4 linked regions of the Coturnix japonica genome follow. The protein of the gene in region 2 interacts with the protein of the main gene of each other region in a biochemical or structural test. Links are inferred from orthologs where the notes say so. Each region holds a gene or a part of one and is shown on either strand. Other genes may lie near its edges.

What was found.
Region 1: the proteins of NR0B2 (region 2) and SMARCA2 form a complex in vitro, tested with the Homo sapiens proteins (2 studies listed by BioGRID). The link is inferred for Coturnix japonica from reciprocal best matches to the Homo sapiens genes NR0B2 and SMARCA2.
Region 3: the proteins of NR0B2 (region 2) and ESRRG form a complex in vitro, tested with the Homo sapiens proteins (2 studies listed by BioGRID). The link is inferred for Coturnix japonica from reciprocal best matches to the Homo sapiens genes NR0B2 and ESRRG.
Region 4: the proteins of NR0B2 (region 2) and HNF4A form a complex in vitro, tested with the Homo sapiens proteins (4 studies listed by BioGRID). The link is inferred for Coturnix japonica from reciprocal best matches to the Homo sapiens genes NR0B2 and HNF4A.

The regions. Positions count from the first base shown.
Region 1 is NC_029547.1:24,039,988-24,046,655, reverse strand, and holds part of SMARCA2 (probable global transcription activator SNF2L2), read right to left. Parts: intron 6,020-6,668; coding exon 5,918-6,019; intron 2,099-5,917; coding exon 1,966-2,098; intron 745-1,965; coding exon 602-744; coding exon of another isoform or gene 584-601; exon of another isoform or gene 1-583. UniProt on the Homo sapiens protein: ATPase involved in transcriptional activation and repression of select genes by chromatin remodeling (alteration of DNA-nucleosome topology).
Region 2 is NC_029538.1:1,620,286-1,627,941, forward strand, and holds NR0B2 (nuclear receptor subfamily 0 group B member 2), read right to left. Parts: upstream 4,476-7,656; 5' UTR 4,296-4,475; coding exon 3,770-4,295; intron 3,333-3,769; coding exon 3,052-3,332; 3' UTR 2,074-3,051; downstream 1-2,073. Other genes in the region: GPATCH3 (G patch domain-containing protein 3), read right to left, coding at 771-1,122; nuclear migration protein nudC, read left to right, coding at 6,230-6,325, 6,885-6,962. UniProt on the Homo sapiens protein: Transcriptional regulator that acts as a negative regulator of receptor-dependent signaling pathways. Specifically inhibits transactivation of the nuclear receptor with which it interacts.
Region 3 is NC_029518.1:17,711,436-17,718,398, reverse strand, and holds part of ESRRG (estrogen-related receptor gamma), read right to left. Parts: intron 2,757-6,963; coding exon 2,341-2,756; intron 1-2,340. UniProt on the Homo sapiens protein: Orphan receptor that acts as a transcription activator in the absence of bound ligand. Binds specifically to an estrogen response element and activates reporter genes controlled by estrogen response elements.
Region 4 is NC_029535.1:4,772,425-4,780,165, reverse strand, and holds the start of HNF4A (hepatocyte nuclear factor 4-alpha), read left to right. Parts: upstream 1-3,585; 5' UTR 3,586-3,723; coding exon 3,724-3,844; intron 3,845-6,929; coding exon 6,930-7,107; intron 7,108-7,741. UniProt on the Homo sapiens protein: Transcriptional regulator which controls the expression of hepatic genes during the transition of endodermal cells to hepatic progenitor cells, facilitating the recruitment of RNA pol II to the promoters of target genes. Activates the transcription of CYP2C38.

The sequences.
Region 1 (6,668 bases), on a different chromosome or scaffold from region 2:
GCTATTCTGTGGAATTTGTTAAAGAAGAAAAAAGTAAGAAAAGGGAAGGAAGATGACAATTAAATCGACAAATCAAAGTAGCCTTAAGAAATGTAGTTATCTAGTATTTCTCTTTCAAGACATTTAATGCAGTTGCTGCAGGCTTCTTTAGAGAAGAAAAGACACCAAGTAAGGAAACATCAAGTATTTCTATCTATCCAGGTGTTTAAAAACAACTGGGAAGGGTTCTTTTTTCATTTGCTACATTTATAGAAGCAACTACCAAAAAAAAAAAAAAAAAAAAATCAAGCTAAGAATTTTTCGTTTGGGGATGAAAGCAAACAAACCACAAGACTTAAAGGTTCTAGGAAGGTAGGGACAGCTTTAAGAAATAAGCTCTAAACTTCCCAAACTATTAAGACTTCTTGTCTTTCAGCACTGGGACCAGATCTCCTAAACAAACCCAGACACAGTTAACACCCTTGCCAAATTCTCTCAAGATGATGAATACAGATTAAATATGTGCTTAAGCATGAATAGGTGAGAATTCTGACAGCGAGTAGGACAGGGCAGAGACGCAATCACTGTAACCACTTCCACAGTCTCAGTCAACAAAACTTACATTTTCATCTTGATCCTCATCACTATCATCATCACTCACAACAGGTTTGGCTTTTGCTCGGCTTTGCCTCTTCTTGCCTTTTCCTTTCTCCCGAGTTTTTTCATCCTTCTTATTCAGCTTGATTTTGACTTTCACAGATTTTGCTGCAGAAAGTGTAAAAGTATACATGACTGTGAATAAAATAAACTACTGAAAATCACCTATCAACTTTTAAGTGCTGTCTCTGTTTTTAGAAATTTTCGCCTGGTAGCAGAAGAAGATGCTCTCCCTGTTTTTTTCCCGGACCATTGAACAATTAACCAGAGATACTTGCTTTTACTTCTCTACTTCTTGACTACTGTAGCAATAACTTGTATTAAGCTATGGAGTATAACTTGACTGTTACACCTCTTCTTTTTCATGTTCAGCAGGTAGTATCTGGTTTTGTGGGAAGATGCAAACATAAAAATACTTTCTTACTTGTATATAGACAAGTTTATCCTTTGTACAAGCAAACAACTGTGTCATTTTAAATTACAGAAACAATAAATGAGATGAGAAACAATAAAGGAGATGACTGGCAGATCTGGAATAAAAATCACCTTTTTCTTTTTCTACCAAAGAAATACAAATCAGCAAGGAGAACTGAAAGGCTGTATGGAGATAGATCTTTTGTATGGGAAATCCTTGCTCCACCTGTGACTGTCAATATACTAGGACACTTTTAATACATTAATTAATCGGTGGAACAGTATATAGGCACCACATTAAATTTCAAACTGGAAAAGACAAATAATTTCACCAAGGGAGAGAACATACTAGTACAATGTTTCAACATTCTCCTTCTTAGAATACATGCTCCAGCTTTTCCTACATCACACCCTGAATACCTGCAGGACATTATGTCCAGCCTTGTCCTATCCCATAACTTGGCCCTCTGAAGAATGGGTGTCACCTCCTGCTTCTGAAACAATCCAAGTTTCACATTGTCCTTGTCCCTCTGAAGAATACTTGCACCATTGTCTTTACCAGGTGATGATTTTCATGCTGCATCATGCCTGAAAGGCTGATCACTCGTGGATCAAAACTGTATTTAAACCTTCTACTACTTTTATTTACAAATTATATGAATAGAACAAAAAGGGTTTATCAACAGTCATGGCCAGTCAAACCTGTTTTCATGTAGCTCTTCTGTTGTTTGTTTCTATTGTTTGAAAATAGCTTACTATGAAGAAATACAGCCAGAAGAAATAGAAAACAAAGACGTAAGGTGAATGCAGTAAACTTTGTGAAAAGTTACATACCTTTATGGAAAACTCAATCTAACAGCAGAAACCAGAACATTTAATTACTCCCCACATTTTCTTTATTTAGAGGGGACTCACATTCTGACTCTGACTCCTCTTCTTCATCATCATCTTCATCATCATTGCTCTCATCCTCACTTTCCTCTTCTTTGGCAATCTTCTGTCGTGCACTTTTGAACACGGACTGAAGAACGATAGAATCCTCATAGATCTACAATGCAAATACAAACCTATGTTAGAGCTGTAAAATCAAGCAACATGAAAAAATTCATACTGCAGACCTTCATTTCTGCTGGAAGCCTACAGAATATACAGCCTTTTCAAATTACAAGTAACACTGCATGCTTTACAAGAAATATAAACATAAAATATTAATGTCCTGAATAAAAAAAAGAAATTGTCAATAAAGATAAATAAATTTTTCACAAAAATAGAAGTCTTAAAATATGTTTAAAAGTCCAATCAAGAATGTTTTTCTTTACCCTTTCTAATAGCACAAGGGCTCTTCCATGTCTTCATTACATTTTATGTGTTGAAAACCTCCCAACATGACAACCTTCAGCAGTAAGCTCTTCAATTACAAAAGTGGATTATGTTAATTATCATTTGTTTTTCCAGAAGCCCAAAACAGCTGCTTGAAAATTAATTTATCCCAAGCATCCCATCCTTCCCTGCAGATCTAAAAGGACTGAAAAATCAGTGCCTATCCAAAGCTTAACACCTTATCTTGAACATGGGCTAACTTGCTGAGAGCTTTTGTCACATCAGATTTTCAACGTCAAGCATCCATATATGAGACCACATCTGGCTTTTAATGCACTTCTCAGATTAACGTAACAGAGATATCATAGTCTCCCCAACTGAGACTTCACAAACATCTTAACAAAGGAGACGGTCTGCTTCTCTTGGTAAGAAGACAAAGCACTGGATAATTAAGAACAATTATATATGTAACAGTAAAGGCTCATGAACTGTATGTGATTTCCTCACCATCCTCACTTACTCCTTCAGTTAAACAAAATATTTTCTTGTGTAAAGTAACACTGTCCATATGTGAGAAAAATAATGGGAAGATTTTTGGCTGTCATTACACAAGCTATACACAAAAAACTGATAAAACCACTCTCACACTTCGCAGGTTCAGTAAAAAGAATTAGAAAAACTTGGTTCAGAACACTTCATATGAAATACACAAACTTTTCTTTCAGTTTATTTTCAAGTACCTTTCAGAAAAAGTGCCTTTCAATGCAGCTAGTTCCCTGTTCCCAACTCCATATGTACTCCAGTGGCTTTTGTTAAGAGATGTCAAGATGGCTCATAAATAGGGTACAAGTGTTTCTCAACACCCAAGATACATAACCATTACAACTGTTTTGAAGTGGCTTTTTTCCCTTTTGTATTGTGCCTCTAATGGGATTTTAGATCCCAGAGTTTTGTTTTGTTTTTTTTTCCTTGAAGGGTAATCATCACCAATATTCTTTTACACCTAACATTTTTAAAGCTTCCTATCCCTAGAAGACCCCTAGTTTTTCTTTTTTGTTCCCATAGGCCTAGCATATCACATTATTCTTAGGGTTGCCCCTCAATAACCTGCCAGTCTTTCCTCAGAGAAAACACATTTTTAAGATAACAATAATTAAAGAAGAGTACAACATTGTATTTTGAACTCCAGTCAATACATACTTAAGATCTCACTGTGATCTGGACCTTTTAACAGAATTTCGTAGAGAAATAAAGGGATTTTTAAAAATGGCATCTTTCTAAATACGGAGTTCTTTGTAGATACTCACTGGTTATTATGACTCAGAAAAGACTTACGGCTGCATTCAGAAAAGCGAGGCAAATAAAAAGTTTTCTTACTTTAATAAATAATTTGATTCCAACAAGAATCATTAAAAAAAACAAACAAACAAAAAAAAAACCAGCAATAGCAGCAAAATTTCCTTCAAAACAGGAAAAAAACAGTAACAAAGAAACTTAAAATTCTGCAAACTCTTAAACAAAAAAAATGTTCTCTTCCAAAAGACATGCACTTCTTACATGTCTGTTTTTCATTTGACCATTACAACATTAAAAACTTTGTGAAACTGAGCACAGAAGTCTCAAAAAGAAGTCTGTCTGTCNCTCATCAGGTTCTGGCTCGAATGGAATTCCTTGGCCACAAGAAAAATGTATCAACACTAATAAAAAGAACATGCAGAATTTCACTTGATGCTGCTTTGTATCTGAACAGCTCTGCTCAAAGTAGCCGTTTTGTTTTGGGTGTGCACACAATAATCCGGTTTATTCAAGTAAACTGGTACGTCACAGCAAGGATAGAACTGAACTATCACAAATGTAAGGGAAGCTTGAAAACTGGAGGACAAGTGGAAAAATGTCCCACAATTCACTGGAAACAAAAAGTTAGGAGAATACAACATAAAAACTTGAACAAACAAAACGAATAAACAACAACAAACAAAACCTAGATACTGGTTTTTTGGCCTTTATACAATAAAAGGCAATACCAACTCTGGTAGTTAAATTTGTCTGCTAGCACGGAAAAGAACTCTGAAGCTGGTTAACCTATTTCCAAACAGGGTAACAAAATCTTGAATGTTTATACCCATCCAAGAGTGTTCCTATCAAATCTATCACCTCCAGTGGATTATCTATCACCTCCAGTCTGGATTAGCAACTCATTCCCATCAGCATAACTGTTTTTTTCACATATCTACTACTTTTTACTTATCCCTTTTAAACTACTGTCATTCTCTCCCTTAAACAATTTTAATGGTACTTTCTGGGTGGGTTTTTCTTGTGTTTGTTGTTGTTTTTTAGTTTGTTTTTTATTTAATTCACAGCTACTTGACTTAGCAGTAAACTGGTAATTTACTTCTGGACATTTAGTAAAGGTTCTGTTTCACAATTCGATTTGTCATTATTTTTATTAAAATAATTTTAACAGATATTTTTATAGGCTGCTTCCACATAACACAGTAAAAATATCACACATACGTATAACAGAAAGCATTTTCTGTCTCTATATAAGAAAAATAAACACAAAACAAACAATTGTATTCATCAATCCTTTATCTAATTGCATGCTCAATTTCATTCTTATGTCTCAATTTTTCATATAAACTCACCTGTTTAGCAAAGCGTTATCAATAACGTATAGTTATTCAGATGATGCATTAATCCTGGCAACATGAAACCTCCAGCTAAATTTACCTAGGCTTCTTGAAGGGAATTTTTATTTTTCTTTTTCACATTATTGATGTGGTTTTCATGTCCTTTACTTCAATTTCATACTGTATTCGTATCCCACAATTTAGGCTCCACTGTAAAAATATGCATCTTATGCTACATTTCACTACATCACGTGACAATTTTCTCATCTGTTATCCAGATTTTGTAGTCTCTCATTTTGCATCAGTATCCTCTGTTCCTAATTTACAGGACTGAACACAATCGTATCTTTAAAACATTTGAGGTTAGAATTTTGCTTTGCAAACCTCTGAGGCTCAACTGGAATTACTAACTTTCAAGATGGATATAGAAAGAAAGATCAGCCCAAAGGTTAAGAGAATATTATATAAACTCATACACAAACTGCACATCTGGACCTTGAATTTCTATCTTGTACTAGAAGACCTGAAGAGTTCACTACTAAGCACTTCCTCTGCCTCTGGAATAAAGTTGTACTATTATACCTGCTCCTTCTGCCATCCAATCTGGTAGCCTAAACCCATGTATCACTCTACATGAACAGGCACCCAGCAGAGATTCAAATGGTCTTACAACAGCTGGGAACTACACACAGATCAAAACAAGCTGATCTTAGAACTGGACTCAAAACCAAATTGTCTGCATGCTCCCACTTCAGCCGTGACCAGAGAACTTTGGATAATTCCAAGAATCTGTCAATTTCCTCTATTTAAAATACGAATTAAAACACAGCATTTATAGGCACAATATAATCACCAATTAAGAACTGAAAGCATTAGGAAGGGAAAACCTGTATGTGCAATTATTAGTTCGGTCAGACCTGTGATCCCTCCAGATTGAATGTCTGAGCATTATGACACAGCAACATGACATCCTTCTCCAGATCCCCAAGACTCCGATATTTATGGTTGCGAATTCTTTCCTGTTGCATTTGTTGAAGAAAATGAGAAGTTCAGAGAGGCAGTGGTGCAGGAAAAAAACAAAACAAAACAAAAAACAGCAGACAAGACATAGAATTAGTTTTTGAAAATACATTGTCTTTAAAAATGCATCAAAACAAGTGCCTGTTTAAAAGAAACTAAGGAACAATAAAACATATAAATAATGTAATACTAAAAAAAGTATCACAATAGGGCAATAGGTTAAAAAATTAAACAAAAAACAACATGCAATTGCTGTGTGGAGTGGAAGGGACAAAAAATACAAAATTGAGCTTTTCTGCTAAAAGGAATTTCTATTTCTTTTTCCCTGCACAGGCATACAATATGCTATGATATGGACAGCATTACAGAGTTACATCATCTAATGCTCAAGAAGTTGCCAAAAAAACATCTGCCAAACTGTGTTTGCAGATTAGTTCAGGGACTGATATATTCTCCCACAGGTATTATCTTGCTAAAGATTTATTTATATGGTTCTTTATTGGTCCCTTACAAAAAACACACATTGAGATGTCCACTAGAACAGGCTGACCAGAGAGGTTATCGATGCCCCATCCCTGGAGGCCTTCAAGGCCAGGCTGGATATGGCTCTGGGCAGCCTGGTCTAGTGGCTAACCACCCTGCCCACAG
Region 2 (7,656 bases):
AGGGGTAAATTGAGCTCTCCTGGGGAGGTCTGGGTAGAGGAACAGCCCCCACACTGACTCTGCTTGCCCCATGTTGGAAATATCCTCAATAATTTTTGGTCAGGACGGTATCTCTGATAAAAGCAGTTTCTATTCGTGATTGCAATGGCGGGCGCCCTGATGGCAGCAGCGCCCCTATGGACATGATGTTACAGTTTTGATACCTTTTCTCCCATATGTTTTCCCCTCCCCTCTCCCCTTTGGTTGGGTATTCCAGGTTACAATGTTACCCGAGGTTTGCATTTGTTAATTACATTCTGAAATTTGTTAGTTCACTTGCTATCTTGTCAGTCGCCGTCCTGCTGGTTCTGTTTCCAAGATGTCTCGGTATCTTATCCTATTGATATGTTGATTCCCTTCAAAGCTTCTTCCATTCTGTCCTAGAGGCCTTTGTTAAACAAAGAGCCGGGGTGGGGGTTGTTGCTAGTTTACACAGGCATATTGTTAATTATTTTAACTTCTCCTCTTTGGATCCTTTATTACTCAGGTCTTATTTGTCCAGCATCAAAAACCAGTAGTTCTATTTCAGACAGCTGGACAGCCAGGAGCTGCAATCATTGTACCTAATAACTACAAATCGCTTCACTTTATATAACGAGACCTTGAAATAAAACATTCTTATTCTAAATGCAGAAACAACATTTGATTCCCACACCCAGAACAGATACAAGGTGTTAAGGAAACTTCATTAAGGGGTAAAGGCTTTATCAAAGGGGGGGGTCCAGTCCTACCTGTCCCGGGGCTGAGCCGGACCCTGCGGACCAGGCAGCGGCCGGGCAACGAGGCCCCGCCGGGCCCGACCCATCGCCGGCCCGAATACATGCGGATAAAGCGCCGGGCCCGGCCGGGCCGAACGGCAACCGGGCAGCAGCACCGAGAGGGAGATGAGGCCTGATCATCACATCCCGTAGGAGGGAGATCGGGGCGGTGGCGGTAGTGGAAGCAAAGGAAACCGCCGGCTTCTAGGAATTGGCTGAAGTAGGAGCGGAGATGGGCGGAGCGCAGCGCGGCCGGGATGCCGCTGATCAGGCAATACCGGGCAGCGGCGCCGCCATTAGGGAGCTCACAGCTCAGCGCCGCCATCTTGTCCACCCAGCCGTGCGTCACAAGGGATGGGCGCGCGGTGATGACGTCACAACCGTCTTGAGGTGGGGAGGATGGCGCCGCCTCGTGGCTGGGAGGGGAACTGCAGTTATGGGGTCAGCTGGGGGGGACCTCATAGATCCCCATAGAGACCCTATAAACCCCATAGAGACCCTATAAACCCCATAGAGACCCTATAACCCCATAGAGACCCTATAGATCAGGTTGCCCATGGCCCCGTCCAACCTGGTCTTGCACACCTCCAAGGACGGGGCAATCTGTCCCCAACGAGCAGCTGGAGCAGCAGTGCTATGGGGTATGGGGGCAATGGGGGCTGCTCGCTGTGCTGGGGATCCTGCCTGCTGCTGGGTCACTGTGCCAGCAGTGTGTGGTGTGCCCAGCACACAGTGACTCACACACATGTCACCGTGCTGAGCAGCTCGTGGCTGGCGTGGGCCTGCAGGGATCATGGGGTGACTCACACCAACCCACCTTCCCTTTGGAGAAGGGCTGTCAGGCTGAGATCCCCTTGGAAGCGACCTGCTGTGTGTTGGCACGGATGGGCAGCACACAGTTCTCCCAGCAGGCTGCTGTTCAAACACGGTGTGTTTATGGTGGTGGGGAGCCAGGAGGCTTTGTATGGCTGTTCTCCTGTGGGCTGAGGGCTGTGTGTGCACATCCAGGTGAGTCAGCACCAACCTCCTGCATCAGCACCTCCAGGTGTGGCTGTGTGCGTGAAGGAAGGTGCAGCACAGACAGGCTGCAGTTGTGCTGCCTCTGCAGGTTTCAGTGCACAGAGCAGTGTGTGCCCAGCACAGCTCATGGGGCTGCATTGCAATGCTCCCCTATGATTCCCTATGATGCTCCATCCCTGCATTCAGGTGTCCTTCCCACACTGTACCTCCAACAGCTATTTCTACAAGTCCAAAATGCCAGAAATATAACAAAAAATCACCAAAATGTGACACGTTTTTATTAAAAAAATAATTTACTGCATCTTATGTACAAATCAAATGAAGGTCCGCTCATTAAATACTGACATCAGTGACAAAAGCTGCAGGCAGGAGAAGCGAGCTTTCCTACTATGTTGAACCAGCTGGAACTCAAGGCAGGGATGTTTGTTCAGTGTCTGTAGCTCAGTGTGTTCCTGAGCCATTCCAAGTATTGCCATATATATATTGAGGTGTATAGGGAGGATGAAGTGGTGTTCATGCAGCGTTATTTGCCGTACGTTTCACTGCTCTTAGGTAATCCAATCTGTGAGCAATCCTGTTGCAGCTCATGGCATCGTGGGGAGGAGATGCGATGTGATGAGAGGCAGGAGGCGTTCATGAAGCTGGCTGCACGCCCTGTAAGATCTGATGCTTCTCCCTCCTGCTGTCTGAGGAGGATTCTTGGTGGCTGTCTGTGAGATTTCATGCACAGCAGACACTGGCTGATACTTAAAGATCTAATTCCTTACGGCTTGCACCTGGTTGTACTCTACAAGTGATACCACCGAAGATACTCAGCACCCCTAAATACCACTATCAGCACAGAGCCATCACGGGCAGCAAGTTGAGGTCCAACCTCATCTCATGGAGTTAACAAAACACACATTGATTTTAATTGAACTGAGGATTCACTGAGATATAAAAAGCCTGGAGCAGGCTCTAACTCAGTCTGCTCTGTGTCACAGGGCTGGCCTGCTTGCTAGAAACTCAGTACCACCAGCCACACACACTCACATTCCTCAAAACAGACTGGCAGAGGTGGAGCAGCCATGCTGAATCAAGGCTGCTTTCCTTTATGCTCTGAGCCCTACAGCCTAGAGAGAGGCACACGCAAAGCCCTGTGGAGCTGAGTGCCTGACTGCCTGCTCCACAGTCCTCCCTGCTGCCCTGCCAGGTGTTGTTGAGCACCCCCAGGGCTGTGGCAGAGCACAGCAGCTCACAGAGCCACGCGTGGTGAAGGAGCCGGCTGCCAGCTGGTGATTTCATACAGCATATCCACGATGAGCTCGACAATGTCTGCGTTGCCAATGATGGGTCGGAAGAAGAGGTCTGTGATGAGGGCAGGAGGGATGGATTTCAAGGTGGAGGTGATGAGTAAAATGAGGGTAAAGCGGTCCTGGTCCTTGGGGTGTAGGATCTGCACAACTTCCTGAAGCGCTCGCTCGGCTTCCCGCTGGAGGCTCTCGATGTACAGGGAGGCTGTCAGCCCTGGGACATCTGCCAAGAGAAAGGAGGGAAGGATGTGAAGAGGAAGGCTGGAAAACAGCTCGAGGTTTCTCCCATCTCTCTCCCCGTATCTTGGAGAAAAACCTCAGAGCCATTAACAACATGTATTTCAGGGCTGTTGCTTTGAGGGAGTAAATACAGCTAATGAAGCAAACATGGGCTTTGTAGAGTAAGACCCAGGGTTCTTTGATTGCAAGGTAAGGAGGTCTCTGCTTTTAAACACTACATTTTCAGTATCCCTCCTCCCTGCTTCCCAGAGGTAAACTGCATTGCTGGTGCTAATGATGTGAGCAGCTCTCCCTGCTCTCACACACACTTTTGCCCAAACTCTGAGCGACTCCAAGCCAAGAGCAGTGTTTTTAAATGCTAACTCATGCAGGGCTTTCTCTTGCCACCAGCAGGCAGAGCTGGGAGGGTTGAACACTCACCAGGATTAAAGAGAATGGCTCCCTTCAGGTAGGCGTATTCTTTGGGGCTCAAGTCCAGGCTCCAGAAGGTGTTGAGGCTGCACTGCAGCCACTGCACAGCGGCCAGCATGGGCTGAGTCCACTCAGGCTCCTGCCTTTTGCTTTGGCCATCGAGGAGGATCTTCTCAAGCATGCTGGGGGCTGGGGTCTCCATCACCTCAAATGTCACCGTCTCCTGGACCAGCCCCAGGAGGAAGAGGGGGACCCAGCAGCTGTCCAGCAGCAGGAGCTGGTCCCCTCGAGGCAGCAGGTGGAAGGAAGGGAGGTTTTTCATGAAGCTGATGGTTTTCACCAACACGTCGGATGCAGCTTGGCAGGTGATATGGGGTGTCCGGAGGCAGACCGTCCAGCGCTGGTGGCACAGGCAGCGTTGGTGAGGTGGGCTGTGGCTCAGGTTCTGGCTGAGGAGGGTGTAGAGAATGGCTGGGTGTTTGTCTTCATGCTGGCACTGACACCTCTCGCAGTCCATGTCTATGCTGCTGGTCATCAGAGCAGAACTGGGAGCCCCGGATCCTCTGTGAAACTCCGCAGATGGGAGAGACCTGTAAGTTTCCTCCCCGTCTCAATCTGGGAGTGACCTGTCCTCCCAGCTCTGCCAGCACATGGCTGTTCAAACAAGCTCTTATAAGGCTCGGTCACAAGTGGAACACCCCTTCCCAGCCTTGACCGCTCCGTGATTAAGCGGTCCTCATTAAAGAAGAAAAAAAACAACAAAAAAAAAAAGCCACCAACCCCAGCTGTCCCCAGACTGATTGGCTGGAACCAGCAGGATCTCAGCATGGCGTCAATGGCCGTTTTCTCAATGAAACCCCAGCAGGGGCAGCGGGTTGGGCAGCCTTATCACAATTACCCAAACAGTATAAACAAAGTCATTAACCCGGGCTGTACCATGGCACCAAGGCCCCACGCTGCAATCAGGTTGTGCTATCTGGCAGCTGTCGCTGCCAAGGAGTTCACACACACACACACATACACACACACACATACACACACAGGGTGTTCGTCTGAAGCGAGGACCCCATGGCAAATGGCCTTGGAAAGAGCAACCTGGAAGTCATTTTATCAGCAGCTGTTTGCCTAACCTTGTTGACAGGAGATCGGTGTTGTTGCAGTTAAGGAAGGTGGTGAACTGAAAGACTAAACCTAAAGGCAGCAGCCCATTGTGCTGAAGGAGTAATGCTGGGTAGGTGAGAGGCAGGTTTATAGGTTTTTACCTTGAATTGCTCTGGAATTTGTATGTTTTGATCAGCATTAGTTAAATGACAGCACACAATTATGGATTCCAGTGGGGCCTGTGAGGAATTCCTCACACAGGGGGTGCCTGGTGAACCCTGTGAGGATGGGAACAAGTGATTTGGCAGGACACGGGGAAATGGTTTTAAGTTAAAAGAGGGAAGATTTAGGTTGGATGTTAGGGGGAAGTTCTTCACTAGGAGAGTGGTTAGGCCCTGGAACAGGCTGCACAGGGAGGTTGTGGATGCCCCGTCCTTGGAGGTGTTCAAGGCCAGGTTGGACGGGGCCCTGGGCAACCTGATCTATGGGGTCTCTATGGGGTCTCTATGGGGTCTATGGGGTCTATGGGGTCTCTATGGGAATCTATGGGGTCTATGGGGTCTCTATGGGGTCTATGGGGTCTATGGGGTCTCTATGGGGATCTATGGGGTCTCCTGGGCAACCTGATCTAGTAAATGTGTATGTTTTATGGCCCTGCCAGGCAGGGGGTTGGAGCTACATGATCCTTGAGGTCCCTTCCAACCCGGGTCATTCTGTGATTGATTCTGTGATTTAAGGGCACGCAGCTCTTGGTGCACAAATGGGATGGAACTGATGGCCACACTGATGGCTTTTCACCAAAAAAACACCCATCTACCTGCATTTGTCGGCCAACACAAGTCAGCCTGGGGAAGCGGCAGCACCTGCTGATTGATTTAATGGAGCAATAGGAACCCTATGGGGATAAGGACCACTCACTCTAATGCACACAGCTCTCAGTGCAATGGAGTGAACCCAGCAATGAGGCCTACAGCAGCCACAGGGACCAGCATAGCCTGTCCATACTGCAGATTACAGGCTCTTTGTGCTGCTTAGGCCTGGATTAGAGGCTCTTTGAACTGTGTGGTGTCTGTGGAGGAGATACAGGTAAAGCCAAGGGTAAAGTACCCGGATGTAGGCGACCCCATGGAGCCTTCTGGAAAGGCCTAGGCCCAGGCCCAGCCGTCTCCATAGCAACCGAGCCCCGCTCCACTCTTCCCGCCTCTCCATCCCGCCTACGGCCTCGACCAATCCGCGAAGGCATCGGTGCAGACGAGCGCTGCGATTGGCTGTTGATTTCGGTACCTCCCTTTCCGCTTCCGCCCAGCTCGCTTCCGGTTCCGGTGAGCGGTAACGTGAGGGCTGTGAGGAGACCGGTGAGCGGAGAGGATGGGGCTGAGCGCGGAGGAAGCGGCGGAGCAGGAGGATCGTTTCGATGGCATCCTCCTGGCCATGGCCCAGCAGCACCAAGGCGGCGTGTGCGAGGTAACACCGCCGCTCCCGGGGCGGATAAAGCCCGTTTGTGCTGCCGGTGGTTATTGGGTGGGGGAGGAGGAGCGGGCGGGCCTAGGAGGAGGGGGGGCAGCACGTGACTTCCGGCCCCGCCATATTGGAGGCGGTGGGGCCTCCATGGGGCTGATATGGGGGGCGTGTAATGGGGCTGTTAATGGGATGCAATAGGAGTTTGGTCCTTTGTAAATCAAATGGGACACAGAGGTGGGTCTGAATAGCAGCTGGGGGTGCCCACATAGGTACAAGTCCAGTGTGATCTGTGAATATCATACCTACACTCTGTTAATGTAGATCACATAGATGCCTCCCCTGTAGAACTGATCCAGGAGGTGGATTTTCAAGCAAGCCAATGGGAAACAGAGTGTTTCATGATGATCCTGATCATAATATGTGCCAGCATATATGGATGTGATCCCCTCTGATCTCAGAGGCACAGATAGGAAGAACAGAATAAATGCTGTTCATTAGACACGAGGTGCCTTGGAATGATCTGGTCTCATTGCTCTGTTTTTTTCCCTGTTCCCTCTACCAGCTTGTGAACACATTCTTTAGCTTCCTGAGACGTAAAACAGATTTCTTCACCGGTGGAGAAGATGGTGTAGCAGAGAAGGTAACAAACCACCACCCGCCAGTTGTGATGTCTTTTGATTTGTGTGTCAGCCATGTTTGTGCCTTGCTAAGCCTTCACAGAATCACAGAACTGTAGGGGTTGGAAGGGACCTCTAGAGATCATCGAGTCCAACCCCCCTTCCTTTCCATCCTCAAACCCTCTAATGAATTTGGGGATGAGCAGATAAAACACCACTGAAACCAGGTGACAATGAGCTGTCCCTATCTGTGGTGAGGCACGATTGCTTGTTCAGGTGATCCTGGTGCTGCAGGTTTTTGCCATGCTCTGGCCAGAGGCTTGTTTGGAAAGCAAATCTGCCAGACACACACTGACTTAACGGTGACAGACACTGCAGTGCCGATAACCGCATGTTGCCTTGTTTGTTCACCTCAGGAAAAGCTCAAAGTCCACGTCTCCACACAAGCAGCTGCACCTTTGTCTCTGGGTTGCTGTAACTGTAAGGACTGAGCGTGCCTTGGTTCCAGGTTGCCTCATTAACGTGCTGAGTGTTCCAGCATGAGTTAGTCAGACTTTCTAAAGGGTTCTCGATTGTACTTGCTCTGTTCTCCCTCACTTAGCATGTGAACTCCTTTGTAATGCTTGGCTGGATGCTGTGTTACTCTCTGCCCTCCTGGCATTCAAGCTCTGGATGATTGCAGCAGGGATTATAGGGAAGCTGATGTTGTAGAAGGGT
Region 3 (6,963 bases), on a different chromosome or scaffold from region 2:
AAGCTACTCTTCACTACCCTGTATTTATAAATTTCTCTATTTTTTTCCCAGTTTTCTTGTCTGTACTGATTCAGCTACCAATTTGTTTTAAAAACAAACAGAACAAGAATGCGTTGTGAACCAGGAAGCAAGAAAATGGAAGGGGAGAATGACCTCTACAAACATTAAGTTCTGCCATTTGTAGCAAATCAGACTTAGGAGAATTTTTCTTCATGCAAGTTCAAACGAAGAACTTGTCAATTCAAACCAGAAGGAGTAGCTTTTTCTTGTCCTTTAATACAAATGATGGCTTAATTCACCAAAAATATGTAGTTTCCATTCTTTCGGATGGTATCTGAAAACTCTTAAGCCTGCATCAGTTGAGTCAGCATCATTTCGGAAGAAGCTACCATGACATTACGATGGTAACATACCTCCTATTCTTAGTATCTTTGTTACTGCTTTTCCATTCAGTGCCAGGCTTTGCCTCACTGCTCTTTTTTTTTTGGTCTTCACAGCACCATCACCTGCTGATGCAGCTAGTGCTCTAACCCTGCTGAGATGTTTTGCGCAGCTGCCAGTTCTAACTTGAGCTGTGTGGCCAAGTCCAGGTTGCTAATCTGGAGAATGACGTCTCTGTCTTGTGCTTCCATGCCCAGAAACTTGCTGTCTGTGGCGTGGTGTACAATTGCAGGCTATATATTACAGCCAGAAGTCAATGCTTTATTCAGTTAGAGATTTTGATGCATTTTCTGATGCTCAAAATACAACTAAAATCATCATGCACTAATTCAGTCCTGTAGAATAGCTATTACGCAGCAATTAAATGCCATTTATAAAATCAAAGTTGCAAGCTGAAGTTGTCATTGGAAATTTAGCAGCTTTCCTAAAAATGTTCTTGAAGGTCAAACCAAATCAGCTTTTGTTAAAACAAACAAACAACGCTTTTTTGAACCCAAGTAACCAGAAATTTCTGAATGTATGTTTATTTCCTGATCGCAAACTTCATAAAAATCAGCTCCATTATAACCACAGAGCTCTGCTCGTTCTTTCTGGTGGTAGTATGGGCATCGTGAAATGGCTGATTCATGCTGGTAAAAGGTCCAAATCCCCCAGAGTAGTGGTATGCTTACAGAGTAAGCAGCATGCTTACAACTATTAGTTGTGGAGAGTAAAATGATCAATTAAAAATAAATAAATAAACAAACCTTAGTAATGGCTAAATTTAAAATGAAACATTATTTTTGTTTATTAACTGTAAATGAAATGTGGAGGCAGTATATCTAAAAAAATTTTTGATCAAATGTTTCAATTTTAGAGCCACGTGAAATTGCAAATTGGAACTAACCTGACTCTCCTTACTACAACTCAGTTTTAAAAAGCAAAGCATACCACCAGGTTGCAGTGCCTTTCCTGAGGATTCCAGGTGCTCAGCAACTATGAAAATCAAGGAGGTTTTATTGAGGAGCTTAAATTTGGACTTAGCAGCCTAATTTTAGTCTCTGAAGTTTGAATTTAATTTAATGTGACACTATATTCCTGTACAGGCCAAGCCTGTCCTCATGTTCTTTAAATAAAGCACCTTCAATTTTACTTGAAAGGATGATATCTAAATAAAAGTAGAAGGTTATTTTGTCTCCATAGGTCCTGTAGCTAGAAAAAGTGGTTGTGCAAATTATTCCATTCAAACTAATTTATGCCAAAATATGTGGCATATTTGTAACAGGTATCAAGAGCAGATTAACACAAGGTACTTGGCAGAGACCAAAAGCTGTCAACTTTGTGTCCTTAAAATGTGATCTTATAGACCATTTGGTGAACCAGTTAAGGCCATGGTACATTGTACGGGTGAAAGGCCACTTTATTAATAGTCTGACACTAACAAAACACTACAGCATTACATTTTGTTCCATTCTTAAACGCTCTAGTGCTTTGATAAAGATATACAGGATTTTTGTAGGGATTTATGTATGGTAGTCATATAGCTAGGAGCAAAACCCAAGCATAACTTGTGCATGCCGCAAGGTGTGTTCAAGAGGTATACATAACAACCTTAAGAAAAATAATCACTTTGCATGGCAGCATTGATGAGAATCCACAAGGAACTCTTTCAGAGAAGAAGAACTAAATATGCACTGGATGGCTCTACTATTTTTGATAAGCAAAATAAACATAACAATGAGTTTAACATGACAGAGCTTACAGCAAAGCCCAAAGGGGCTTTTTCACAAGTATCATCTGTAGGACCAAATGCTATGAAGAATCAGAAGCTATGGCCTGAAGTTGTACCATCATTTAATCAAGGACTGTACTGCTTCACTTTGAACAGAAGTAGGAAAAGATGTCTAAAGCATCACCAACCTTGAATTGTCCTCTTGAAGAAAGCCTTGCAGGCCTCGCAGGAAGCCACTCCATAGTGGTACCCTGATGCAATGTCACCACACACCAAACACAGTCTTTTGGGCATCGAGTTCAGCATATATTCACATTTGGTCTGTGAATCTTCAGCAATGGTACTGGAGCAGTCATCGTACCGTTTCCTGACGGGCCCGTTGCCCCCAAGCCCCGTGGCTGAAGGGTAGAGGGGAGGTGAGTCCAGCCCATTCTGATGTCCATTCATGGTGGAACTGTAGCTCCCGCTGGCGTCTGAGGAGCCACCGGGGCTGTGGTGGTTGATGCTGTCCGTCAGAGAAGCAGGGCTCGACGGCTCCGTCTTGATGTACGACGAACAGCTAGAATCAATGTGTCGATCTTTGCTTGACATTCTGCAGAGAAGCCTGGAGCAGGGAGAGAGAGAAAGGAATCTCTGTATTAAAGACAGTGCTCGCTTGGTCTGCTCTGGAAGGGTTAGGGACTGCACATCATTCATTCATTAGTCAATACCTCTTGTTCTACATGAAGGTAATCAGCATAAGGGCACGACAGAGCTTTGTCAAAGCTCCAGACAGGCAGTAAACAAAAACTTTAAGAGACCAAACCCGTCTGTTGTCCCCTCCAACTGCCCTCTAGGTTACATGTCAACTTCAGATCGGCTCTAAACTCTGAACCTGTCATCCAGGGAGTCAAAACACTCCTAAGTCCCACTAGATTACTGAAATTTTACATTTATTTTTTCACCAGTTATTTTTGTTCTGTAAATTCCACAATTACCAGGGACACGTACTTTCAAGTTTAAGCACACACGTTTAACTCTGTGATTAATATTTGTCAACACACTTGAATAAAACATGTAGCCATCATCCATTGAATTCATCTCAGAATTGAAGAGCATGTCTCCCACAAGCTTTTTTTTTTCTTTATTAATATTGCTTTATTATATATATAGCTATTTAGTAACCGAGTAGCACATCAACTGGGGACTCTAACAAGTAATTAAGGCTGGACTCCATTTTCAGAAAATCTAAGTGAAATGATTAATCAGCTCTGGCTGCAATTACTTTCTAGCCATTATCCACAGACTAACCAGTAATAACTACGCCAGCATCCCATATATCTGCAGCTCTATAGGATCTGACATTTTACGTGTTCCATTCTTGGATTAAAGAAATATATTAGAGGAAATTTTAGATAGAAGTTTTGTCTTTCAGAAGGTGAGATTCTATCTCAGTTCTCACCTTTTCAGAATTAAGCATCTGAAACAAAATCATAAAACATTTGAGCCAATAAATTATCACTTTCTAAAGGGGGAAAAAAAAATCTTGCGCATTCTGTGCCCAAGGTTGATATTATTTTTAAATGCATTTTAGAAAGAACAAAGAACAAAAATAATAATCTGAAAGCTCTATGAATCAGATATCATCTTCATTTTCTACAGCTGTGATTATGAGACTGCAGTTGCAAATGGCTTACCCAGCATTTTCCTGACAGTAGCATCTGAAGCTGCCAAGTACAGATGACAGTTATGAGCATTTCTCTAGAATCATTTTCAGCAGAAATGCAACTACTCCGTAAGGCCACCCACCTGGAGGTATAGATTCATGATTCAAGTGCTTGAGTGCAGACAATCTGACAGAGTAACTTTCTCAAGTCAGCTTTGAGATTTCGACATCACTCACTCAACTTTTTGCATATTCAATATAAATGCGTACGTATTCAATGTGTATGTACTAAATATATGATTTTTTACCTCAAGCTCCAGAATCAAATGGAAACCAGTGGAAAACAGACATCAATCCAGAGACTTGTCATATTTTCCAATGGGTGTAATCAAGATCAAAGCCTGACCATTCCTCACTAAGTATTTGCTTAGGATAAGATTAATGATAAAAATCAGTGCCCATCAGAATTATTCAGGATCTCTCAATCATTGTAAATTTTACTGGAACATACTACTGAAAATAAGCTAGATGTGAATTTGGATAGCGGCCAGATTGATGTGCAGAAATCTCACCCCCAAACTTAAAATCCATACTTATTTGGGAAGGTGGAAGGAATGTGCTACCTGATGTCAGCAAATAAGCCAAGGAAATGGGAAGGTTAAAGCTGTGGAAATATCTTATTACACTGGACCACCTGCTTGTGTTGTCCTTTCCTCAAGAACTGGAAGGGGGGGGGAAATCCCCTTGCCAGCCTGCAGTACCGTGTGCCTTTTCTTCTGCATCTGCTGCCTTGTAGCCGTCACTGTTAATGAGTGCTGTAATTAATAGATAGCTCTCTCTTGTCTCTCTACTTGCACTCCAGGCTAAGCACTTTTCTCAAGTCAACGTTTGAAAGAAAGCGGGTCGGCGCTGACTTACAGCAGCTCTGCAAATTCCTTTTAATTTAGAGCACTTACACCACCACTCCACTTATTACCTTATAATTACTGGACCGCTCTCACATACATTACGATCTTAGACTGGAGTTAGAAGTTATTAGGGTACTAAAACACGGTGTCGCACTGTCTCTCTCTCCTCTTTCTTTGACACAATTTTATACAGCCATGATTAAAATTCTCAATTAACATTCACGTTCCAACAACTTATTTTTACATTGTTTCTCTTTACACTGACAGTGAGGTCCTTTTCAACCAATAAACAGGTACCAGGTGATCTTCTCTTACCCCTCTTGTTAAAAGCCCACAGGACAAGTCTCAGAATAAAGCAAGAAACCTTCTGCATACTGACTCCTGTGCCCAGTTTGATGGCACGTTCTTGTCTCTCTAAACCTCCTTCTGCTTTTTCTCTTATTTGTGCAATAATAAGCTTGAGAGTCACCCTCCGCTTCCCAGAAAAGCCATTTGCAATTAATTAGTTGTCCAAATGTATTGGTTTTAGCCGGTGTGAAAGTGGCTGTCTCCACTTGAAGCAGTCAGAACCGAACTGCGGTCACAGTTTTGCGAGCAGGAACACACACTAGAAGCTCTGTGCAGGCTAAAGCCTGCCTGATGATGCTCCCAGAGCTGTGCTTTCTGGTGCTGATCAAGATATGGCTGCTTCAAGCTGCAGCTTCCGTAGCATGGGCCGGCCTGATGCAGGATGACAAGGTAAGGCCCATAAAATGTTAACCATTCCACGGGAAGCAGAAAACACCAGCCAAGTTCTGAAGGAGAGAAAATTTCTCTGTCCTAGAGCAGGAAACCAGGGGAAGGGCTGTGCACCCTTGGGTAGCACTGGCATCCATCACCCTGCTCTGCTGCTGCCACAGCATGGCCGAAGAGGCCCTGTGTGGATGGCAGCTGGGGCCACCACTGTACCACCAACCCAGAGCCTGGAGCACTGCCTAGGCTACAACCCCTCCCTCCGCTCCTCCTAATTACTACTTAGCTCGTTACCCTGAAGAATTCCTAGACACCACCACATTATAGTCTAAAACTACAGTCGGAGCTTAATTCTCCCTTCCTCTCTCTGTCTGAAATTCTACAGCTCTATTATTCAAGCCTGAAATATTCACAACTATCTATAAATTCAATTGTCAGCCGGTGGATTTTATTCTAAACCTCACTTCAATCTAAAATTAGAGGCACTAAAATTCACATTAACTCTAAGAGGAATGTAGTGAATAAGACTTTATTTCAAAAGAACACCTTTTTGTCAGAAAGAGCTATTTTCAAGATGATGGCTTTATCTGCATTCAAAGAGAATAAGCCCAATTCCACATTGTGCTGTTAATGCAAAATTTTTAGGTCACATTGGATTAATAAAAATCTAAATTTAGTTAAGGTTTATGAATAGAAATAACATGTGTCATATAAAAACGTGCAGTATTTATTTTAAAGCCTTGGTGGGGTTGTTTTTTTCCTTTACTATATTTTAAGTCAAAGCTACAGCAGCTCCAAGGAAGTTTTCAAACAACCAGGAATGCTCAGGTAAACTTTGAGGAACTGCAGAGAAAGCAGCTGATGGGCTCCTGAATCATTCCACATTTGCACGCAGGACAAACTGCACAGAGTGCTGCAAACTGCTAGTAATATGCACTATGTAGTACAACTCCTCACATCCTCGCTAAATTCACTTCCCGACTTCTGTCTTTGAGTGAGACCTGAAGCCAGTTTCTGCTGGTAGAAAAGGACACCAATGGAGCACTTCAAAACCCAGCCCTGTTTCAAAGTGGCCTTAAACAATAGCGAGCAAATTATATGCTGTGTGCTTATGGAAGGTTGAATATATTAAGAATTAATTAATGCAATCACATTCATATTTCCATCTACCTGCCACGTTGCTAATGATATTGACAGCGCTGACACTAGCTAAATCAGTATCAATATACAAGCAGAGTGCAAAAATTAACCACATCTGATTACAGCATATAGCCTTAAAAAAAGAAAGCCTTCCCATTTGAGCTGTACGTATCCACACACACAATTGGTTCGGCAAATTGTTTTTCCCTTATTGTCAATGCCTAAAGGAGGTCAAAAAGCCCAGGACAATACTTCTTAATCAGCAGGCATATTTCAGGAACAAAAAGCTCTGCTTACAGTATCATTCACTATTTCAGAGCTGTACTGGTGGCTTCAGTGTGAGCAGTAATTAGTCACAATAATTACAGTGAGCACCTTTATTATAA
Region 4 (7,741 bases), on a different chromosome or scaffold from region 2:
GAAAAAGCCGTGCTTTAAAAACAGGAACAAACCCTCATCCCTGAGGTGTGCGCATGGCTGCTGGATCCAAAAGTGCTGCGTGGGGTTACAGCCTGCCTGCTAATCTGTGCCACCTCTGTGTGAACAAGTCATGCAGTAAACTGCTCTCTGTTAATTTTTTAATGCAGAATAAACAGGTCAAGAAATGATTAGCATGAGAATAAGTTGAGCTTAATCAGGAGAATCGGAAAAGATGAGAGGGAAGAGGCAAACTGGAGTTATCAGTTAACCATACAGAGCGGTTCTGCCTCCAAGAGTGTCCTCCTTCTGAAGCTGCCTACCTTTCCCTTCTCTAATTTAAAGGATGAGCTAAAATTGCTGGTATAAGCACAACGGAAGCCCTTGTTTCACCTTCGCATTTTCTATGGCTGCCCAAACGGGTTGCAGGTGATAAGTGATATAACTCCTACCTGGTCGCTACAGACGGCCGTTCCCATTCCACCTTCAGGAAGGAAGATGCTGAAGTGAGGGCTGAAAGGCACAAAATCCACGTCCAGCACATTGGAGTGCACTGCTGTGGGGCAGAAATGGTGGGGAGATCCTGGCAGAGCAGAGACACGTGTGGGGAAGGGGAAGGAACGCAGCCCTTGGGACTGCTTGGAGTGGAGTTTGGTCAGTGGTCGGAGATCTATATTGTCAGATAGGCAGGACTTTGTCCACAAACTGGAATTTGAAATTTCAAAGGGGAGTTGTTTAAAAAAAAAAAAAAAAAAAGCAGAAGGGACCTTTGCATGCGTGGGGCTGAGTGTGCTGCTGACGTTCTGCTGGGACTGTCATTCCTTCTCTGCTTCCTCAGCTCCGCGCTTCCCTACCTGCTTCCTTGTTGGAACGGCTCAAAGGGCTGCCTGCAAAGCCCTGGCCTTCTTCACAGCTTTCCTGCACTAGGGATGCTCAAGATCCAATGGGATGAAGCCTTGAGCAGCCCGTGCTGCTCTCAGCAGGCCCTGTGTGGTACAGGATGTTGGGTAGAGACTCCTGAGGTCCCCTTTAACCTGAATTGTCCTTTGGTCACACAGCACTCAATTGTGGAGGAGCCCTGTGAGAGGCTCACCCACCTCAGACCAGGAGCTAGCAAGCACGGTATACCCAATGGTATCCTTACCATAAACACCACATTAAATATTCTATTCCCGATCCTCATCTACTGATAAGTACAGGTCTTATTTTCAGGGAATTCCCTTTCGCTTTGGATTAGTTTGCCAAAGATATAAAGTGGAATTTGTGTCATGAGGTGCTATAGTGGAAAAAGACAGAAGGATTTATCGCTCAGCTGATAAAAATCAAATATTCACTTAGCACAGAAGGCTGCACGCCCTGGGGCTGTAATGGCTCCTCTGCAGCCACCTCCTGGCATAGCTGGAGGATACAGAAAACATCTCTATCCCAAAGCATCTGCGGCACATCGTGATCCTATTAACTACTATAGGGTGCGGTGACATTGGCAAGCTGACCCCAAAAGCCACCATGTGGGGATGTGGGACAGAGACATCCAGCAGCTCAGTTTCCAGGCAGGGTCTCTGTGCCATGAGCCCATCCCCAGGGCAAAGGAAGTGCGTAGTGTCCTTCACCCCAGTGCTGAGACAAGGGTTTTGTGAGGGGGCACCAGTAGCAAGAAAATAATAGCCCACATAAACCCACAGATGGAAAACTCTGCATCCCTGCCTCGTGAGCCACTAATGCTCCCCAAACTTCCCCGCTCCTTATCTGCCTCTCCTGCACACAGTGCCTCTCCGTCTTCTGTTCCTGGCTCTCTTAACCCTTCCCACCCTTAGGAGCAAATGGCCTTATTTTGTCAGCAGGCTATTGAAGCAAAAGGGTTGTTTTGCTGAATGGAGCAAAACGGGCCATGCTTTTATGGTATTTTACTAGACACTGTGGCAAATCCTGCACATATTTGACCAAGTGTCTGTAGCATTTATCTAATCAAAGGGATCACTGTGGCCCAAGCAGGGCTGGGACGGAGGTCCCTGGGATGAGGCCACCTCGGGGCTGTGCTCTGTCTCACCACCTCCACCCTGGTGCACATCGTTACTGCAATTTTGGCTCAGGGCTGTTGCTGCTACAGGGGAGAACCACTGACTGCATGAGAATAGAGGTGCTATTTTCCCAGCAGAAGATGATCACTTACTGCCAACCCCAATTAAGATATCAGGAGCTTTTCCTTGCTCTCTGTTTTGCTCCTTGGCTGTAAGGTAAAAGCACTCCCTGGAAGCGGTACATGATGGGAGGCGAGGACTGCCTGAATAATCCTCAGTGCTCCTAAACGTGATCAGCAAATCACTGCACCAACAGCACGTTTCACTGTGGGGCCACGGACCTCAGGGCCACACTGTGGCTAGGAGGGGTTGGGGAGTCAGGGCTGTGCTGGTGCACTGAGAAGCACAAACACAAGCAAGTTTGGAGCCCAAATTGGCAGCGTGTGGACTCGGTCACCTGGTGCTGATTGTGAAATCAAGGGGATGTTTTCAATGCAGAGCGAGCTGATGCTGAATCATTAATTGCTTGTTTTCCCGTGCCATCCAGACGACGCCGTTGGGTAATCAATTAAATCTTGCATTGTCATGTGGTGCAAATTGCACTGAAACTTGTCAGCCCTGCAGAGGAAAAGCAGGGGGCCCAGAGAGTTCCTGGGGTGGGCAGGGGGGAAGCAGGAGCCCTGCTACTCAGTGGGGTCCTGACACAACACCTTGGTGATGCCAGCAGGCGTGATGCAGCGGAGAGCTCTGCTTGGCTGAATTCATAGAAGGAAAAATCATGCTGCAGAGTCAAGCCCTGCTGCACCATAAAACACCCAATGAAACTTTTAAGAGGCCAAAGCCAGGCCAGGGTGTGTGTGACAGCAGGCAGCCCATTGCCAGGACAGAGCAGCCTGGCTGTGCCCAGCGCACCCAACCAGCCCCACTCGTCCCTTCACTATCCCTTCTGTTGCGTGCCTGGCACTCAGGCAAACCCTCACCCCAAAGGTTGTTTGGGCACAGCTCAGGAGCGGGACCTGTTTATAGGGCATTCAGCCCCTGTAAAACTGGGTTTATAGGGAAGTAAAATGAGTCCTACGTTGTTACTTTGCATAGCAACGTGTAAATCGCAATGTGGGTGCTGACCTTCCCTGGGAGGGAAAGGGAGAGGAAGGGAAATGCTTTGGGAGGGAGGGAGAGAGAGAAAGGAGGGATCAGGAGTGAAGGCAAAGAGGGGAACGCAGAGGTAGGAGTGGGGCACAGCCTTGTTTCCCAGGCAGGGATTTTTCCAGCCTTCCCAGCACTGGTGCAGCCCAGCACCAAGGTCAACAGCCCCACAAAGGTGTTCCCTGAGTGGTGAGTGCTTCTCCCCGTGTGTTCCTGGGAGCTGGGATCAGCACAGCGCCTCGAGATGCAATCATAAACAGTCAACAAGAATCACTGCAGCTCCACCAAAAAGAAAAAAAAAAAGCCAAGCCAACAGCCAGGCAGCAGCGTTAGCCAAGTCAACAGCTACAGCCACCCAGCGTTAGCAGTGGGTGAGATGATTAAAGATTAACCCCCTGCCTCCACCCCTCTGAGGAGTATAGGTCTTGAGGCTCAGCAAATCCTTTCAGAGAAATATTTGAAATAAAAGACAACAGATAGGGGACGCAGTGAAGGCACAGAGAGGCAGAAGGGCCAATAGCCTCGGACAAGGGAATCGGCACAATCTGGCCCGTGTTTGCCGATGATAATGCGCCTTTCCAAAGCCCTGATAGACATGGAGATGGCCGATTATAGCGCAGCGCTGGACCCGGCGTACACCACCCTGGAGTTTGAGAACATGCAGGTGCTGGCCATGGGCAGCGGTAAGTCCCCTCCGGTGGCGACGGGACGATGCATCCCCAGGGTGGTCACTGAATGGACTGAGGAGGGTGGGGGGCACGGTGGGGATCCTGCTGCCCCCAGAGGGAAAGCGAGGTGCCAGAGAGGTGCCCTGGAGCCTCGGGAATGGGATTTGTGGTTCTCAGCAGCCTTCAGACTGAGCTGAGGGCAGAGGGGTCTTGTCAGTCCTGGGCTCCCACAGAAAGGAATAAAAGAACCAAGAAGTGCCAACAAACTGCTACCTGTGGCTCAGCAGAAAGCCAGCCCTGTTCTGTAAGAGCAGCTGGAGCTGAATCTTCCCAACAGCAGAAAGCTGCTTGGTGCATGGCCAGGGTGCAAATCATCCCAAAATGCCACCCAAGGGCTGCTCTGAGGCCATGGCCCCGCAGTGCTGCTGTTCAGGGGGAGCACGGGGCCTGCAGTGCTGCAGGGCTAAGGGGGGGACCCGGCTGGAAGGGAGACAGCAGCCCTGGTTAGGGGGAGATGGGCTCCCTCAGCAAGGTGGGATCACACTGAACCTGCTAGAATTTGCAATAGTGGCCCATCCAGTGCAGCGCCAGCAGCACAGCTTTCCTCAGGATGAAACTCTGCTCCCCATGAAACTGAAGCTGCACATCTCCCTGCCCAGGGCTGGCCCTACATGCCCCAAAGCCACTCCTTAGCCCCACCAGTGAGCAGCTGAACCTTTGGGACAAGGCACAGCTCCACTCCCAGCAGGGAGAAGCCAGGGGACCTGCCCTGCACAGGGGCTGTGAGCTGGGTTCTGCTACATCTGGGGGTCCTACAGGACTGGCCCAGGCACAGTGTCACATCCCACAGCCTATGGGCAGATGAGCCAGCTGGGTTATGGGGCATTGGCTCTGTGCTGCATGTGCCCAGCACCTGGCAAGAGGCAGGTACCACACAAATTAAATATAACTCCAAATGAATGGCCATTAAACTCACTTCACCACAGCAGCCAGAAGTCCATGTTTCTGGCATTATAAAAGTAAGCTTAACTGGAAAGTTATCCATTAAGAAATTGTTCTATTTCTGGTCAGCTCTTAGATCAAGAGGGTGAGATTTCTTTGGTAACTTCCTTACCTGTTTGCAGCATGATACACACACTGCTAGAGGAGATTTATGTGAACCATCACAGATGAGCATAGTGATTGGGTATGGGTTGGCTCTGTTTTCCTCTCTTGCAAAGCTCCACATTTCAATGGAACTGAAAACCTAACATTCTTCCTGGAAGAAGCATCATCCAGCATCACCCAGCTGAGCCCTTGGAACGCAGTCAGAGGAAGGACCTGGGAGGAAAGCTGCTCGCTCTGCCCTGCAGGACTGAGGGACACATGGGCCCGGCACTGAGGAGCAGAGGAAGGAGCCTCCAGAGCTGGCACAGGAACACAGCTCCTCAACCCTGCAGTACAGCAGGGTGTGCCGGGCCTGGAGAGAGCAAACTGTGACTCAGGAGAGCAATAGAGGAAAGATGTGAGGAATTAGAAAGAAAGCAGGCAGGGAAGTGAGAGCTGCTGAAAGAGCTGGTGGAGATGCCCTGCATGAGCTCACTGCTGGGATCACAGCAGGCACCCCAGGTCACTTGTACCCACACATCTACATCAAGGGGCAGCATGAGGAGGTTGTGTACATCCTGCTGCAGAGCCCACTTCAACCCATTTCCTGCTAAGCAGAAACTAAAGTTGAAGCCCTACACCTGATGTACTTACCTTAACCCTCTACAACTCACAGTTCCCAGTCAGCAAAGGCACCCCCCATATCCTGGGACCAGCCCTCTCAGAGCATTTATCCTTCTGCAGCCCCTCTCTGATGGGAGCCAGGTGGGAGCAAATGCGGCCCTCCTGGGTAAGTGTTAATTGCATCCCTGCCAAACCCAATGGGGGTGTGGGGAAGGAGAAGGTGAGAGGGGAGATGAGGAGCACTGAGCTGTTCCCCATAGCCTTGGGGAGGTCAGTGCTCACCCCTCAAAGTGACTGCCAGGCCCTCAGAAATGCAAGGTGAATGTTCTCTGGGAGCCCTGTTGGTTGTACAATGCCCACCTCTGTGCTATGGGATGCAGGCTGGGTCACGAGCAGTGCCTGAGAGGTCCTCCTTGCTATTCTGTCATCCTCTGACCCTCTGTTGGCCTGCTGATCTCCACTGCTGTCCTTTGAGAGGGCTGTTAGGATTGACATATTCCGGTGTTAAAGTCTCAGTAGGTTTCTATGGCTTTGTAGATCCTAGGTGTATCATTTGCAAACGGGATTTCCTCTGAGTCCCATGCTGATACAAGAAAATGTGCTTGGGAGGGGACAATTAGATCAACTGAATAGTGAGCTGATCCCTTCAGCCTTGGGGTTTGTTTGGCTTGCCGGAGGGATTTTAGTCTAGGGCTTGTATGGTTTTGAGCCTTTCAGGTGTTCTCTCCTACACAGGCTGCTGCAATTCCCCACCCTCCCAAAAACACACTACACATACCAGTCCCCTTACAGCTTGTAAGGACTGCAGGGTGCATCTCACATCCCATACTCTGGAAGGTACCCAGCATACAGCCTTCGCCATGTTATAGTGCTGTCCTTTCTTTCTGGGTTGTCCCAGTCAGTCCCTCCTCACATGGTGGGTATTTGTCCATGAGTTCTCCAGCTGAAGCCATATGCAATTATTGTGCACTAACAGCCTCTTGAAGCCTCTTTCAGTGCAGTAACACCAACACTTCGCTATCAAACCAGCAGCTCACCCCAAGCTGTAAAACCTCAGCTCAAACTGCACCAACTCGTTCTCTGGCCATACTGCAGAGGCCCAAAGCATCTGCAAATCCCCCAGGAATTTTGGCTGTGCTTTGTGACAGCTGCAAACGGGTTTCTGTGTATCCTGAAGGCATTGCTGGAGTCGGGCCTTTGGGAAGAGCTGCTCACCCTGGCGCAGCAGCAGCATTAGCACATTCGAGATGCAAAGACTTGGGACACCCGGAGCACCCACCACTTCTTATGACCTGCTGCAGCTGCCCAGTTCTTTGGTAACTTGCTGGAAAAGGAGTTAGGAGTTGTCAGCTGTCTGTCTCACTGTGTTCTTGCTGTGTCCTTTCCCAAGCAGACACATCTCCATCAGAAGCAGCCAACCTCAACACTTCCAACAGCATTGGGGTGAGCGCACTGTGTGCCATCTGCGGGGACCGTGCCACAGGGAAGCACTATGGGGCTTCCAGCTGCGATGGCTGCAAAGGCTTCTTCAGGAGGAGTGTGAGGAAGAACCACATGTACTCCTGCAGGTAAGGGCAGAGGGGAACAAAACAGCACCCAGCAGCTGTGCAGCAAAGCTGAGTGCTGCAGCATGGCCCTTCATCTCCTCTGTATCCTCCAGTGTCTTCCCTGACCTCATCCTCTGGCGATAAGCTCTGGACTTAGTGCATGTGAAGCACACGGCTGCTTGCAAGGCAGGGCTGTTTAGGCTGTCTGTCCAAGAAGACCCCTCCCCACAGCTCTAGTGGGAAAAGCCAAGGCTCCCAGTTCTCCTGACACCAGATCTTTTATGACAGTGCTTAAAGATCTGCTTTCTGGCATCCATTTGAGCAAATCTTAGCTTGGGGCTTTCAAAAGTGTGTTACAAACAGGCCTTCCCAGAGCTACAGAACTCTGCATGGCTGGGAGCCCTTTCATAGATCTGTATGCCTTTGTCTTTGCAAGCTTGATCAATCAGCAGCTAATCAGAGCATATTTGCAAGTGAAATTCATGCTGCAAATGGCTACCAGGCTTATGCTGCATACGGGAGATCAGTGTAATGCACCGTCATCTGCAATCAATGTGGTGATACAAGTGGGTAGGGAAGGAGCTGGGTGCTTGCCATCTCCTCTCTGAAGCACAGGCAGCTCAGAGCTGCTTGTGTGCCAGCGATGCTGTCCAGA